Linked DNA regions of Caenorhabditis elegans. The protein of the gene in region 1 interacts with the protein of each later gene in a pairwise test. Each region holds a gene or a part of one and is shown on either strand. Other genes may lie near its edges.

What was found. The genes of interacting proteins can lie anywhere in the genome.
Region 2: the proteins of flh-3 (region 1) and zip-12 interact in a two-hybrid assay, tested with the Caenorhabditis elegans proteins (one large-scale study listed by BioGRID).
Region 3: the proteins of flh-3 (region 1) and zfh-2 interact in a two-hybrid assay, tested with the Caenorhabditis elegans proteins (one large-scale study listed by BioGRID).

What each region holds. Positions count from the first base shown.
Region 1 is NC_003282.8:9,268,298-9,272,479, reverse strand, and holds flh-3 (FLYWCH transcription factor 3), read right to left. Parts: upstream 2,385-4,182; 5' UTR 2,384-2,384; coding exon 2,054-2,383; intron 1,956-2,053; coding exon 1,617-1,955; intron 1,511-1,616; coding exon 1,115-1,510; intron 1,060-1,114; coding exon 862-1,059; 3' UTR 542-861; downstream 1-541. UniProt on the Caenorhabditis elegans protein: Probable transcription factor. May bind to the promoters of target genes, including micro-RNA genes, in order to repress expression, and acting redundantly with flh-2.
Region 2 is NC_003281.10:12,326,048-12,332,784, forward strand, and holds zip-12 (BZIP domain-containing protein), read left to right. Parts: upstream 1-1,619; 5' UTR 1,620-1,899; coding exon of another isoform or gene 1,900-1,938; intron 1,939-3,416; 5' UTR 3,417-3,417; coding exon 3,418-3,765; intron 3,766-4,525; coding exon 4,526-4,825; intron 4,826-5,617; coding exon 5,618-5,770; intron 5,771-5,993; coding exon 5,994-6,215; 3' UTR 6,216-6,227; downstream 6,228-6,737.
Region 3 is NC_003279.8:801,607-806,377, reverse strand, and holds the start of zfh-2 (Zinc Finger and Homeobox), read right to left. Parts: upstream 3,011-4,771; 5' UTR 2,977-3,010; coding exon 2,904-2,976; intron 2,579-2,903; exon of another isoform or gene 2,506-2,578; intron 2,034-2,505; coding exon 1,956-2,033; intron 1,909-1,955; coding exon 1,483-1,908; intron 779-1,482; coding exon 498-778; intron 1-497.

The DNA of each region.
Region 1 (4,182 bases):
GTACAACTCGCTTACTATTAGATGTGAAAAACTGATTGGAATCAAAAACCTAACCGGGTGACAGATCACTTTTGGAGCAATATAGTAATTTTGTATATATAACCTTACACTAAAAATGCCGCTTAAACATTTGCTATTTACATCTATCCGTATAATTGTGTATTAGAACAGATACATGGAAATTGAAGTTTTGAACTTATCCATTTGTGTTTTTTCTTTGAATAATTGCTATTTTAAAGATTGTGTACATTGCAAAAATGGAGTGCTTCTAGAAATGTTCATAAAGTGTGGACTACCTGTGGGGAAATTAATCAAAAAACCATTGATTTGGTATAATGTCATGATGAAACGTTTGAAAAATCCTGGAAATTTTTTTTTGAAAAGTTTTATTATGATATTTTGCTATTCAGGACCTGTAATGTGCTTTAATTATTTTCCCCACAGGCCGTAGTCCACCTTTAACAAGATGTCAAAGTTTGCCAGGGCGTTTCAGCCGAACGGCGAGGCGAGGAAATCTCTTTATGATTTCTCAATTGAACTTTTTCAATACTGATATTTATAAAATAACTCCGTATTTGGTTAGTTTATAAGTTAGAGAGATGAAGGGAAAAATGACAACCAAACAAGAAGAGGAGGAAGATTGGCGATACAATGAAAAGAGATCATTTGGAAAATAATTTAAAACTCGTGAAATACAAATTTCGAATCGATGAAAGTTTGGAATGGAGCACCCGATAAAATGAAAGTGGGTCGGGAATGAAATATTTGAGGGCAATATGCGCTCTTTAGTACAAATAACTAGCAATCGGAAGTACATTGAATATGAACTTGATAATAAAAATAAACAAAAACATAGTTAATTTAATCTTGAAGTTTGGAAACATGATGGATTTTCCAAAAGTTTGGTTTTGAGGAATCTAATCGAATAAATTCCTCGGTTCTCCATTGATCGATCATTTGCTGTGATAGGGGAACATTGATTTTGGATGAAATATTCATCATTAGTGAACGATTGGATACTTTTTGAAGGTGTTCTTGAATTGCTTGACGAATTGATTTCTGAAAAATTCCGATTTCTGTACTGTTCAAATCGAAGGTTCACTGTTTTACTTACCTCATTCCTTTCAGAAACTCGAATCATTTGAAATACTGAATCATTTTCATGTTGATCAGCCACAAAGAGAACTAGTTCATCATTGTGTGCATTTGGAAAGAATACTGGAAGATCTCCATTTCTGCTAATCAAATCAGTTCTCAATTCTCTGTTCTCCAACAAAAACTTTGTCAACGTCATCTCCATATCGTGTATTTCCATTTCTGAGATCTTGTTAAAAAGATCAGGAAGTCGAAGTGTGATTGGTTTACGTCCATCGCAATTATTTGTCATACTTAGAAGAATATTCATTGTTGAAGCATTCTTTTGTTCAGTTTTTGTAGAAAGAGTTTCATCTTCCAAATCAGATTTTGGAGTGAGAAGTGATGGTGGCAATAGGTTCTTGGTTTGTTGAGGCTGAAAAGTTAAACATTTTGATAAAGATAATTATGATTCCAACTCTAAAAAACAGCCTTAGGATGGTCCGACTCTAATGAAACTAGAAATAAAAAATAAAACTAACCCCATTGAGAGATAAGATGTGTCCTGATTTGACTTTTCCATAATCAATATTGTAATGTGCAAGATCAAAAGTAGTTGGTGGTGGATGATTGTGAACTTGTACTTTATGAATGACTCGTTCAGCATCAAATGGTGTATGAATACGTGCTGGACAAGTATTCTTTCGTTCACATCTGAAGAATCTCTTCTTGCTATCATATGAGCACTTGTCGAACACGTAGAGATGTTCATCAAAAAGTACACGTTCACGAATTCCACGTGGAGTGTACGGCTTCGAGCTGTTCGGTGAAGATTGTCTCTGAGCCTTGTTGATTTTTCCGATTAGCACGTCTTTCACTGTCTGTAAATTGAAATGAATAAAGATTAGAAACGATAAATTTTAAACAAAAATATTACACTTTATAAATTCAAAAAATTGAAGTTTAAGTGAAAACTTACAATTTGGTCTTCATCGGTACTGCTCATAACACTGCTACTACTGCTTGGCTGTGAATCTGGAGAAGTCGAAGATCGGAGGACATCAACCATGATGGGAATTTGTTGTGTAAGTGAGTCAAGGATCGCCTGTTGCTGTGCTTTCATTTTCAGTTCTTCCATTTCTTTCTTCTTTTTTTCATCTTCTGAAGCTTTCAGTTTTGCTTGGTGATCTGCGTACATTTTCTGCAAAAGAGCCAGTTGACCATCGTTCAATTTTGATACGTAGTTCTTTGCCCATTCCATAGTTGCATTTCCTGTTTTTGCTTGAGAAATTTGAGACGCAAGGTTCATTCTGAAAAGTTAGAACATAAATGTAAAGAAGTAGAAAATAAAAGAACTTAAACTTAGAGATTACAGCCTGCACTGTTAGTTTTTTTTTGAAAAATGTGCGTAGATCACAAGACTTATAAGTGACCTTCAGAAAAAAAACAAAAAACAAAAAAAACAACAAAAAAATTCTAGAAAAATAGATAGTGTGACCTGAGAGTTATCTACCCAATTTTGCACAGAAACGTTCATAGATCTTCAAAAATGAGGAAATACGGTAGATGAAAATAATGGGAATGGAAGATGTATGAAGAATTAGAGAGGGATGAACATGTATTAAAAAACAGTGAGCTGATTAAACGAAGATTCAATACGAAGATTCAGTCGTCTCCGAAGCATTCAATACAAAGACAGTCACACATCTGTAGGGACCACAGCCAACGAAAAAGTGGTGCATGTGCGAGAGATGGATCGGAAGATCGGCGCGCGAGGCAGACACTGAGGAACAAACAATGATCCACTGAGTTTAGAAATAGACAGCAGCTGTCTGCTATTATAGTTTTGTATTAGATGAATTAATGAATAGGAACCAGAAAAAACGTTCGAGGATCATGTGTAACCTGCCGGGTTCCCAAGTTTAGAGGATTAATATATCAAATTGCAACGGGAAGAAATAGCATATTTATATTCAATACAAAGTTTAAAATTAATTAAAGAGTTTTCAAAGTTACGAGCTAAACTAGAAAAGTGGTTAAAATTGGGAGCGACGTGGGAGCCCCTAGATGGGAATGTTGTCAAAGTTAAAATCGCACTGCTAATACAAAAATATCGATTCGATGGCCGGGACGCCAAGCACTATCCTACTCTCATACACACATACACACACACGCCCACAAGAACGGACCACCCAAAAAACGGGGCGACGAGACTGGAGAAGAAAGAGAACGCTGTGATGTATGTGTGGAGGGGGAGTGAGCACACCACTGCAACACCATTGGCAGGGGTGAACTGGTCCGTGCGCAGACAAGCGCGCGCGGGAGGGGTCCTCCCGTCTTTTTGGCTCCCTCTCTGATTGTCTACGTCTCGCCGATTCACAGGCTCTTTTGATGAAGAGGACGCTGTCGAGGAAAAGAGGAACAGGCTGCGTTTTCGACGGTTCGCTTTGGCTACAAGAGAGGAGACAGGGAGAGATAGATAGAACCGGGAAGAATAACCTATATTTGGAAGAAGGAGTTGGTGAGGTCATTCTAGATAGGAAATAAACTGATTCGAGCAGAAGTGACAATATGCGATAATTCTGCAAGAGAGAAATTCGGAATCGGTTGGTAAGCAACGAATAAAAATTTCAGGTTACTGTACCAGCTTTTGGTTGCTTTGAGATAAAAAGTAGTCTAACACATAAACCCGTCGAAATATGTGAAATTCCAATTTTGATTTTCAAAGCACAATAATCCGAGTGGTTCAATAGATCTACTGTAAGACCTAGAGACCATCAAATTCATAAAAAGAGCCGCCAAACTGTTGCGTATTATCGCTCTAAACCTCTCAAAACATTTGGCAAAACATACACATTTATTTGCACGGGACACTAAAAAATGAGACGGGACCCCCGACCATCAGGCAGATGACAACAGTTTTAGACAACAGAATGAAACTGTGTGCAACAAAATGGAATGGTGGGGCATGTGAGAAGGGAGGCGATGTGCTCTATGATTGATTGAAAGACAATAGATCTTAATTGAGAAGAGGGCGACGATAAATTCACAATTTCTTCGATTGGTGGAAAATATAAAGTGATTAATTGCAGATGATTTCGGGGTTGG
Region 2 (6,737 bases), on another chromosome or scaffold:
CGGAAATTTGCATGGGCCGCTATTTTTGATAAATTTAGTGAATTCTAGAAAAAAAACTGGAAAACTGGATGCAATATGATAATAAAACTTGATGAAAAAAAGCTTTTTTAGGTTGGTCAATCTATAAAATATTGAAATTCCTATTAAAACGAAAGATTTTGAAAACTAGTTTTCCTACTACTAAAGATTACTTCACCCTTTAAATTTAAAAAACTGAAAAGTCCTCGAAAATTTTTTTAAAGGTTTACATTTTTTTTCGAGCAGTTTCAACTTCCAGATAAACTTTCAGCACTTTTTCAGTTTTTCCAATCCAAATTATAGTTGTTTTCAATCAAATCAAATACTTTTCTATACTTTATCATTAAATGTAGACTTGGAAAACACATTTCAAATCGGCAAGTTGCTGGAATTAAAAATTTCCGGCAAATCGGCAAATCGGCAAAATGTCTTTTTGCCGAATTGGCCAGAAAAACGGCAATTGCCGGATTTGAAAATTTACAGCATATCGGCAAATTGGCAAATCGTCTATTTGCCGGATTGAAAAACTGCAATAGCCGGAAATTTTTGTCAAAATAAAAAAGCAAGTTCTATGAAAATATCTAAACATAACAGGAAACGAATTTTTCAAAAAGGCACAGTTTTAAGTGTTTCCGTCTTTAAAAAAACCCCTCTAAAAATTTCCGGCAAATCTGATATCCGGCAAATGGCAACTCGGCAAATTGCCGTAATTTTTTTTTGGCAAATCAGAAAATTGCCGGAACTGAAAATTCCTGGAAAATCGGCAAATTGTCGTAACTGAAAATTTCCGGCAAATCGGCAAATTGCCGGAACTGAACGTTTCCGACAAATCGGCAATTTGTCTAAAACAAAAATTTCCGGCAAACCGGCAAATTGTCGAAAATGAAAATTTCCACTTCAACAATGAAACATTTTTCCTGTAGGCTTCAGACAAAAATTATATTTCGTCCTTTAATCCTTTTTTAATCAGGTTTCACTTCACTGTGAATCTAATGAATTATATTATTAAAACTGAAAATTCCGAGAATTCATTTGGATAAATTCTAAAATCAGGGTTTCAACTACCAAAATATTACATGGATTCTGCTCAAGAATACATTGTTCTTCATTTTTTCAAACCTTTCTCGAGCCACAGAACCGCTTTTGCTACATGTCCTGGAAAGATTTATCTTTCATTTTTCGCTGTAATGCTTCATTGTAATGCTTCATTGCGTCCCATTTCGGTTTGATCTACAAAAATTGCGGGGAAAGAGACGCAGAGTTCTCAACTGATTTTGCATGGTTAAGAACGTGCTGACGTCACATATTTTTGGGCGAAAAATTCCCGCATTTTTTGTAGATCAAACCGTAATGGGACAGCCTAGCACCACGTGATGCTTCTGAAATTTGGTTTTGGAATGGGTTTCTATAGATACCTTTTTTCAGCTTTTGATATGCCTTTCCAACCCATTTTTATACAATATAATACCTAATTAATCTGTCAATTGCATTTACATCCATCGAATGTACAATTGCGATGTATTGGAAATTACAGCAATCAGTGCCCATCCCCCATCAACAGTCTCTTATCAATCTTGCTAATCACCTTCACTGTCCCCCCCCCCCCCCACTGTCTCAACCACTGCTCAGATACCAAGTATGTCGCACAGTATTTCCTACTCTGTTTTCTCTAAGGCTCTCACATCTTTCCTCTGACTATTTCTCATTTTTTTGATGCTGCCCTCCTCCTCTATTCAATACAATCAAACGATGTCATGATGCAGGCAAACATCATGCATTCACTGTCTTCACTCTTCTTAGCAAGAAGTTGTGTTCTCTTATCACACACACACACACACACACACTGTCTCCCCCACCATTGGTCTCTTGCCTTTTTTTTGACTGACAACGACGATTTTGAATCTAAGGAACTGGGGATAGGTATGTTTTGAAATTTTGGTTAGGAAAATATGGAAGGATCAAGCTCCGCCCTTGATGATTACTGTAGATTCCTGAATGCATCAGTGAGTTCACGATGGGCATCAGGGCTCTTACATTAGGGGCCAAATTGCCGAAGTTCCGAAGTTTCCGCAACCAGAAGCTGCCGGTTGCAGAAACTTTGGCAATTGCCGGTTGCTGGCGACGTGTATGTATATCTCGCGTCCAAAACAGGGTGGGTGGCAATTGTCGTTTGGCGAAATCGGCAAGTCGGCAATTTGCCGGAATAAAAAATTACCGGCAAATCGGCAAATTGCCGGAATTAAAAATTTCCGGTAAATTGGCAAATTGCCGGAATTAACTATTTCCGGCAAATCGGGCATATCGGCAAATTGCCGGAATTAAAAATTTCCGGCAAATCGGAAAATTGCCGGAATTAACTATTTCCGGCAAATCGGGCATATCGGCAAATTGCCGGAATTAAAATTTCCGGCAAATCGGAAAATTGCCGGAATTAACTATTTCCGGCAAATCGGGCATATCGGCAAATTGCCGGAATTGAAAACTTCCGGAAAATCAGCAATATGTCGAAACTGAAATTTCCTTTAAATCGGTAAAATGCCGGAATTAAAATTCCCGGATGATCGGACAAATCGGCAAATTGCCGGACCTAAAAATTACCGGTAAATTGCCGGAATTAAAAAATTCCGGTAAATTGGCAAATTGCCGGAATTAACTATTTCCGGCAAATCGGGCATATCGGCAAATTGCCGGAATTAAAATTTCCGGCAAATCGGAAAATTGCCGGAATTGAAATTTCCTTTAAATCGGTAAAATGCCGGAATTAAAATTCCCGGATGATCGGACAAATCGGCAAATTGCCGGACCTAAAAATTACCGGTAAATTGCCGGAATTAAAAATTTCCGGCAAATCGGCAAAATGCCGGAACTGAAAATTTCCGGAAAATCGGCAAATTGCCGGAATTAAAATTTCCGGAAGATCGGTAAATTGCCGGAATTGAAATTTCCGGCAAATCGGGCAAATCCGCAAATTGCAGGAATTAAAAATTTCCGCCAAATCGGAAAAGCGGCAAACTGTCGATTTGCCGAAATTTCCGGAAAAACGCCTTTTGCCGAAAATGTTTGGCAAATTATGATTTTGCACTTTTTTTTTGGAAATTTCAAAATTTCAATTTTAATCGGCAAACTTTTTTCCTACATTAATGTTGAAAAATCCCTTTTAAAATTTCTGGCAAATCGGCAATTTGCCGAAAATCAAAATTTCTGGCAAATCGGCAAAATTAGTGTTTTGATAAGAATCAGCAAACTTTCTCATAAGTTCGTTACAAAAACAGTCGCGAACCAATAAGCGAAAGACGAGGAACCAATAAGCGAAAGACGATGCGAAAAATTTTTTAAAATGCACAATTGGGCCTGGCCCGAAAGTTTCAGACAAGACCAAAAAATTCCAAATTTTACAGAATGAATAACGAAACAAGTGGCAGTCGTGACATGATTCTAAAACACTTTGACTCCACGCAAAACAACCAGAATTCGGTAAAGCTGGAACACGAGTCGTCAGATAACAATGAATCGTCAGGCTCCCAGAACTTTGTATTCAACTTTTTAATGAGCCAACTGCAAAACATGGGTCCAGTGGAGATAAAACAAGAAGTAGAGGCGAAGATGTTGGATGATATAGAAGATGAGTACACTGATAATAATTACAATGAAGGCTACTCAAAGATGGATACAGATGGGGATTTGGAGTGGGAAGAGGAATTTAAGAAATTGAATAAAGATCCGAGTAAGATGGACAAGAGAGAACAGGTTTGTGTGGATTTTTTACAACTTCTAGTACAAAATTTAGGTTAGATGTACATGCCCGCCTAACGCCTATTTTTTGTAGTGTAGAAAAAGATTTGTTATATCTGAAAATAATTTCCAAATTTTTCTGAAAAGCCTCACTCAAATCAGGATAGCAATTGGGGCTCAGCAAATTTTTTTGTCGACGAATTTGGCAAATCGGCAAATTGATGGTTTGCCGATTTGCAAAAAATTATGATTTCCGGCAAAAAAAAACTGCCGATTTGCCGTTTGCCGGAAGTTTTCAATTCCGAAAATGTACCGATTTTCCGATTTGCCGGAAGCTTTAAATTCCGGCAGTTTGCTGATTTGCCGATTTGCTGGAAGTTTTCAATTCCTGAAACTTACCGATTTGCCGGAAATTTTCAATTCCATCGATTTTGCCGATTTGCCGGAAATTTTCAATTCCATCAATTTGCCGATTTGCCGGAAATTTTCAATTCCGGCAATTTTTCGATTTCCCAATTTTGCCCGAAAAAAATTTGCCGGAAAATTTGATTTTCAGCAAAAAAAAAATGCCGATTTGCCGGAAATTTTGCTTTTCCGCAATAAAACTGCCGATCTGCCGGAATTTTGATTTTCGGCAAAAAACTGCCGATTTGCCGGAATTTTGATTTTCGACAAAAAATGCCGATTTGCTGGAAATTTCAATATCGGCAATTTGCCAATTTGCCGGAAATTTCAACTTTGGCAAGAATATCAATTTTAAATCCAAATTATTCAGGAACGTCACCGTCAAATGGCCAAAAACCGTGAGTACGCCCGAAAGTGTGTTCAAAAGAAAAAAGATCAACGAAAGCATGCGGAAATTCGAAGTAATCAAATCAAAAAACGCATTCAACTTCTCAAAAATAAAACGGCGATAAAAGAGAAAAATGCGAATTTTGCAGTGGATTTGAGAAAAATGATGTCAGAAATTGGAGTAGAACGGCTGAAATTGGAATATGAAAATGAGAAAATGGAATTGAATAAGAAGTTTGCTGAAATGTTTGCACAGGATGAAACTGTTAATTTGAATTTTCATGTAGGTTTTTTCTCTAAATTTCAAAAAAAAAGTGACCAATTTGCCGAAAATTTATTTTGCCGGTTAGCCGATTTGCCAGAAATTTTCAATTCCGGCAATTTGTCGATTTGCCGGAAATTTTCAACTCCTGAAGTTTGACGATTTGCGGAAATTTTCAATTTACCGATTTGCCGGAATTTTTCAATTCCGGCAATTTGCCGATTTGCCGGGAATTTTCAATAACGGCAATTTTCCGATTTGCCAGAAATTATAAATTCCGGCAATATGCCGATTTGCCGGAAACTTTCAATACCGGCAATTTGTTGATTTGTCGAATTGCTGGAAATTTTTCAATTCCTGCAATTTGCCGATTTGCCGGAAATTTTCAATTCCATCAGTTTGCCGATTTGCCGGAAGTTTTCAATTTGCCGATTTGCCGGAAATTTTCAATTTGCCGGTTTGCCGGAATTTTTCAATTTGCCGTTTTGCCGAAAATTTTCAATTTGCCGATTTGCCGGAATTTTTCAATTTGCCGATTTGCCGATTTGTCAAAAAAATAGCGAATAAATAAAAAAGTCCTACTTTAGTTTGAGTTTTTTCAAAAATGCAAAACTGAGAACTGCGACCAATCAGCGATTTGCTCCGCCCACTTTTCCACCAATCAGATCGAGTGGGCGTAGTTCAAAGATGGTGATTGGTCGGGGAGTTCTCCTTAGTTTGTAAATCCCGTTTTTAAACTTTTTTTGTGGAATTTCTGAATTTCCGACTTTTTCTTTTGAAAAGTCAATTTTAAAATTATTAACCAAATTATAGAGGCTCGCCAGTGCTCGAGAAGAATTTGAAAAAGCTGCTGAAGACCTACGTCTAAAAAACGGAGTAATTGGGACTTTAGGTTCCCGAAAAATCCGAGCAAAGCAGCAAATGGAGTGGAGACAGCATTTGTATCAAATATCTGCACATGAACATGTTCGTTTATATAAATTCTTACCTGAAACAGTCAAAATGAAGAAAATCCCGTTAACTGAAACATTGGGGAGAATGCTCAAAAATTGGCCTAAATTAGCCTAAAGTTCTAGTTGAAAAAAATTTTATTTCGAGACGAATCATGTAATTTTAGTTCATTTTTTAGAATTTCCCAATAAAATTGTAAATTTTTCCAGAATATTTTTTTAAAAATAACTTATTACAGGAGCATCATCGTGAGACAAAACTTGCCGAGTTGGCAGACGAATATGTTAAGCAAACGGTACCAAAAGCTGCTCCCCTAGTCACCTCAATTCCTAAAGACATGTTAGATCAACTAATTAAAAACAATAAAACTTTGGATTTGGAAGAGCTGTGCCGTTTTGTTGCTGATAATTTGTGTTTGTTACAAAATGATAATGATGATAAAGAATCTGTTGTTAAATAAATTATGGAATTTATCCGATGGTTGTACTTTTTGAAAATGTGTTCTTATTCATTTATTCTCCTTGTAGTCTAAATATTTTTGCCGGAATGGAACATTTCCGGCAAGTTCGGCGAACCGGCAATTTGCCGGACTGGATATTTTCTGACAAGTTAGGCAAACCGGCAATTTTTCGGAATGGAAATTTTCTGTCAAACCAGCAAATTGCCGAATTTGTAAATTTCCGGCAAATCGACAAATTGCCGGAATTGAAATTTCCGGCAATTCGGCAATTTGACGGAAAGGAAAATTTCCGGCAAGTGCGGCAAATCGGCAATTTGCCGGAAAAAAACACTTCGGCAAGTTGTGGGTTTGCAAGTTTATTTTCTGGAAATTTCAGAATTTCAAAACGATAATCGCAACATTGCCATAATTGAATTTTCTGGCAAGTTAGGCAAACCGGCAATTTTTCGGAATGGAAATTTTCTGACAAGTTAGGTGAACCGGCAATTTTTCGGAATGGAAATTTTCTGGCAAGTTTGGCAA
Region 3 (4,771 bases), on another chromosome or scaffold:
ACTACGCGGGGGAAGGGAGAGAAAAATAAATTCCAAAAAATTGAAAATTTATGAAAAACTAAAATAATTCAAGAAAAACTCCCCGCCACGCCTACCGGACCTTAAATTTTTTGCGTGCAAAGACCCTATAATCAATTACGCCTTGCTTGGGCTCCGCCACGAACACTTTCGCGTCAGAACCAAAACCTAGTAATGATTATACTTATTTTAAAGGTCTCAGCGTACTGAATTCAAAATTTTCACTACAATTTTGAGCTTTCTAGGGATATATTGAAATGTTCAAATTTTTGAATTTTTTTTTCAAAAATTGTAGAAAAAAGGCTTTAAAATACGAAAACTGTTAGCCTTGGCAAAGCAAATATTACTCATTACGCTATTAAATCATGAATTTATGTGTATATGCAAATCGGTGCGCATACACACACAGACACACAAAAATGGGAAAAGGGCGACACAATAAAAATAAGAAGATGATGAGAGGGGAATACAAAACTCACAATTTGAACCTTTTGCAGATGCTTATCCGTCCTTGTGTGTAGTTGAAAATTGGCTTTCAATGTGGTATTATACGGGCACAAGTGGCACCGGAAGCTCCCGTTTAGGACGGTAACGTCTCCTTGGAACGTCCTGGAACGGTCTTGTTCCACGTGTTCCATCATTTCGGCGATAGATTCGGTGGCGAAGATACCGCAGATCAAGCAGACCAGGGATCCGTCGGACTCTTCGATTGGACTACTTCGGCTAACTGGAGCACCACACGCGAAGTTGGCTGCGAATTCTGGAAAATTCAGGATATTTTTGAATTAAAATAATAAAAATCTTAAATCTGAATTCAGCTTAAGGCCTTTCAAATAAGTATAATCATGACCCATTTGGGTCCCACCACGAAAACACGGGATTCTGGTCTTCCTCATGTTTTAAAACAAAAATTGAGCCGCGACACGCAACGCGCCGTAAATCTACCCCAGATATGGCCGGCCTAGTTCGGCAAAAACTCTTCCATTTCAATTTATGAGAGAAGCCAGAAAACTACAGTACCCTCTCCCCCATTTTCGTGCCGAGACCCGGGAAATTTGGGTCTCGACGCGATTTTTATTGATTTCGATCTAAACTCAATTTTCTCAGTCTTTTCAAAATAAAACCAATTTATTAAAAAAATCAGAAAAGTTAGGGGCTTTAATCCAAATATAATCACGTCCATTTTTGGACAAGTGGGTCCCACCACGAAAACTACAGTACCCTTTGAGTGTAAGACCCACAGAACGTCAAATTAAAAAAATACTGTAAAATCGAATTTAGCTCACTGAGAACTCTAATTTGAGTATCATTTTTTAGGGTTCAAAAAAGTTGGCGTAAGTGTTTTTGCGTGGCGAGACCCTAGAATCGAAAAGTTCGAGTTCAACAGTTAAATTCTTGTGAAATTCAAATTCTTGGGTCCCACCACGAAAACTACAGTACCCTTCGCCTCCCCCCCCCACCTACCTATACTATTCGGGAGCTCTTGCACTGCATGAAGATGCTTATCACTTTGCATATGAATACTCAAATTGCCCTTTGTCGTCGTACTGTACCGACACAAATCGCATCGATATGGCTTATAACCGCACGAGTACGTCTCACCGCGAGCCAGCTTCGGGTGGGGACGGTTCTCGGCACAAAACATGCACTTGACATCCACATCGTTGTGCTTCTCCTTCATATGAATTTCAAGGGTCTCCTGGTACTTGTAGTGCCAATTACACTTTGGACATTTCAGCGTTTTCGACGAATTTCGGAGTGATGAGAATTGGGAAATGTCGGCGAACGCGCCGAGCGTCGGATCGAACGGAAACGAGGAGGAGAGGCTCGCCTCGTCGAAGCCTGACGCGGCGAGAATCCGTCCCAGCTGACATTTTGTGTTTTCGTTGGCTGAAATTTTTCGGGAAATTGCGGAAAAAATTTGATCTATGACCTACCAAACATCTGAGCCGTCGAAGGATCCGTAAGAAGTCGCATTATCTCCGCAGAATCTGGCATCATTGGTGGTGATGTTTCTGAAAGAGAGAACTTTAGTTTTTTAGTCCTATGGAATGTGGTTCTTCCGCCGCGGCTGACACTTTTCGGGCTCCACGCGCGGCACTATACACGGGGTTCTGGCCTTCCTTATTGAATTTTTCGCGCTCCATTGGCAATCGCCCGCCGGTCAACGCGTGGGCAAGTCGTGCACTCCACACGGACAAATACATTTAGTTTTACAACTAAAATCGAGCCCAGATGTGACCGAGCCAAGATGGCCTAGTTCGGCAAAAACTCTTCCATTTCAATTTATGAGGGAAGACAGAAGGCCGTGACTATACAGAAGGCGCGCCGCGAGTTAGGCGGAGGTCGCCGCAAAACTGGAGCAGCAGGCGTTTTGGAGGCCCTAGGCGCGCGCGGAACCCTGTACATGTCGGACCATGGTATCAGTTTCGCTATCTCTAGTGCACATTTAAAGCACATATGTACCTCCATCTTGAGAAAGAAATTTCATCTTGCAAGGAATCGAACCCCGGACCTATTGTTTAGAGCTGAAGCGTGTTAACCACTAGACTACAAGCGGCGCGACATGATTCTGGCGGTACTGTAAATTAAATACCACGACAATGCAAATGCGCTCTAGCGACGAACTCTAGTTTCAGAAAGCCAGGAGGTTCAAGGTACACGTGGTGTCAGAGTATGATCTACGTAGATCTACAAAAAAATGCGGGAGAAAAGATTTAAAAACTTGCTTATGTCACATTTTTTGGGGAAAAAATCCCGCATTTTCTGTAGATCAAAAAGCAATGGGACAACCTGGCACCACGTGAAGGTAACGTACCTTTGAAAATGATTTAAAAAAAAAGAAGTCTTGGCCTAAAAATTATCGGTCCCCCGGCCAAACTCACCCCTACTCTCCGTAGACTCTGAACTTGTCGGCGGTTTGTTGTTGTCATCCATTGTCAAAAGTGCCACGTCCATTCTACCATTTAGCCAATATATGGGCGGGGCAACTCTGGAAATTTTTTTGGATGAATTTGTGAGGAAAAAGTGAAAAAAAAATTTAAAAAACGCGAAAGTTGGAAAAGTGGAAAGTTTGAGAGTGATTTAAAATCTAATGAGTCGCAAATGAGAGAGAGAGAATCGGGGCGGGGGGGGAAGCGCGGAGCTCGCCCCACCACCACCACATGTGCTTGCAATTAATTAAATTTTCGAGGGAGCGGGGAGCCCAGGAGAGCCATCCCCGGAAGCTAAACTTCATAAACTTCAAATGAGCACTGAGAGTTGAGTTGACACCTGTGTTGTGAATGAATGTGAGGAGAGGTATTCGGGGGATAGTTACAACAACAATTACACAACACTGACAGGGGACTACGGTAACCATATGGAGGAGCTGGAGGAGCACACAAAACTTGAGACAATGTTCCCCGCATATGTTAGGGGGGTGCCGACACTCTCAGAAAAAAAAAACGGGGGACACTTTGTTTCTAATGGTGTTTCGCGTTTATTGGGTGATCATTGTGGAGATTCACACCTGCAGTTCTGACTACTGATTCATAAGATCACGGGAGCGGAAGCAGCAGCAGCGCAAGGGGTGTAAGAAAAATCATAACTTTGGGGTATGAAAATGGGATAAAGGAAACGGCAACGACAATTGTAGAACGAAAGTCGGAGGCCTAGGCAGGCGTGGCCTCAGGGCCTGATGCCTGCATTTTGGCATGAACTTACAAAATTTTGTAATTTCCGTATTTTTATCAATTTGATGAAAAACATTTTAAGAGATAAGGCTCGGATTGAGGCGAGAGGCAGGCGGAGGTCGCCTTAAAGTCAGGCAGGCAGGCAGAGAACGTCTGAAAGTCAAGCAGGCAGGCGAAAGTCGCCTGAAGGTCAGGCAGGCAAGCGTTTTAACGCCTACTTAAAAACCCTATTCAAGAGCTAGTTTATGAAAACTTTCTTCAAAACTCAAGTTTTACAAATTTTCTGAACATTTTTGAAACGAAAAATGGTTTGAATTTTTTAAAGCTGATTCTGTATGATCTACGTTTTGAGAAAAAAAATTTAATTTTTTCGGATTATTTTTTGAATATTATTTTAAATTTTATAGCAACTCTAAAAATTCGATATTTTTACAGATTTTCAGAAAAAATAGTAATTGCAAAAATTTTTAAGCTTTTTAAAAATGGCTTAGGCTTAGGCTTAGGCTTAGGCTGAGACTCAGGCTTAGTCTTAGGCTTAGGCTTGAACTCAGTCTTAGTCTTAGGCTTAGGCTTAAGCTTAGGTCTCAGCTTCGGCCCAGGCTTAGGCCTAGGCTTTGGCTTAGGCGTAGGCTTAGGCTTGGCGTCAGTGGGGGAGCGTGAGCTCCCACACTGACGCTATTTAGGGTTATTAGGCTTAGGCTCAGGCTTAGGCTTAGATAAACAAACATTTTTTTAAAATAAAAATTTAAAAATATTTCACTGAAAAACTGTTCAAAAAAGTTAAAGAAAAACGTTTTTTATCTGAAAAATTTTTTTAGGCTTAAAACAACTTTTTTGACTAATGTCTATTTTTTTTTGATTATATTTACAAAAAAAATATGGCTGAGCTCAAATTTTTAGGTCTGCAAAAAAAAGGATCCCCAGAAAAAGTGAGAATGAAGCGTGAGAGGAGCAATAAAATGGGCGGGGCGCCACACGAAGAGCACCCTCGTTATAACTGGCTGATTAGGCATTTGAGAAGAGGAAAGTTGAGGGAAGATGATGGGTGTGGAAAAAGTGAGGCGTGGCCTATTTTATAC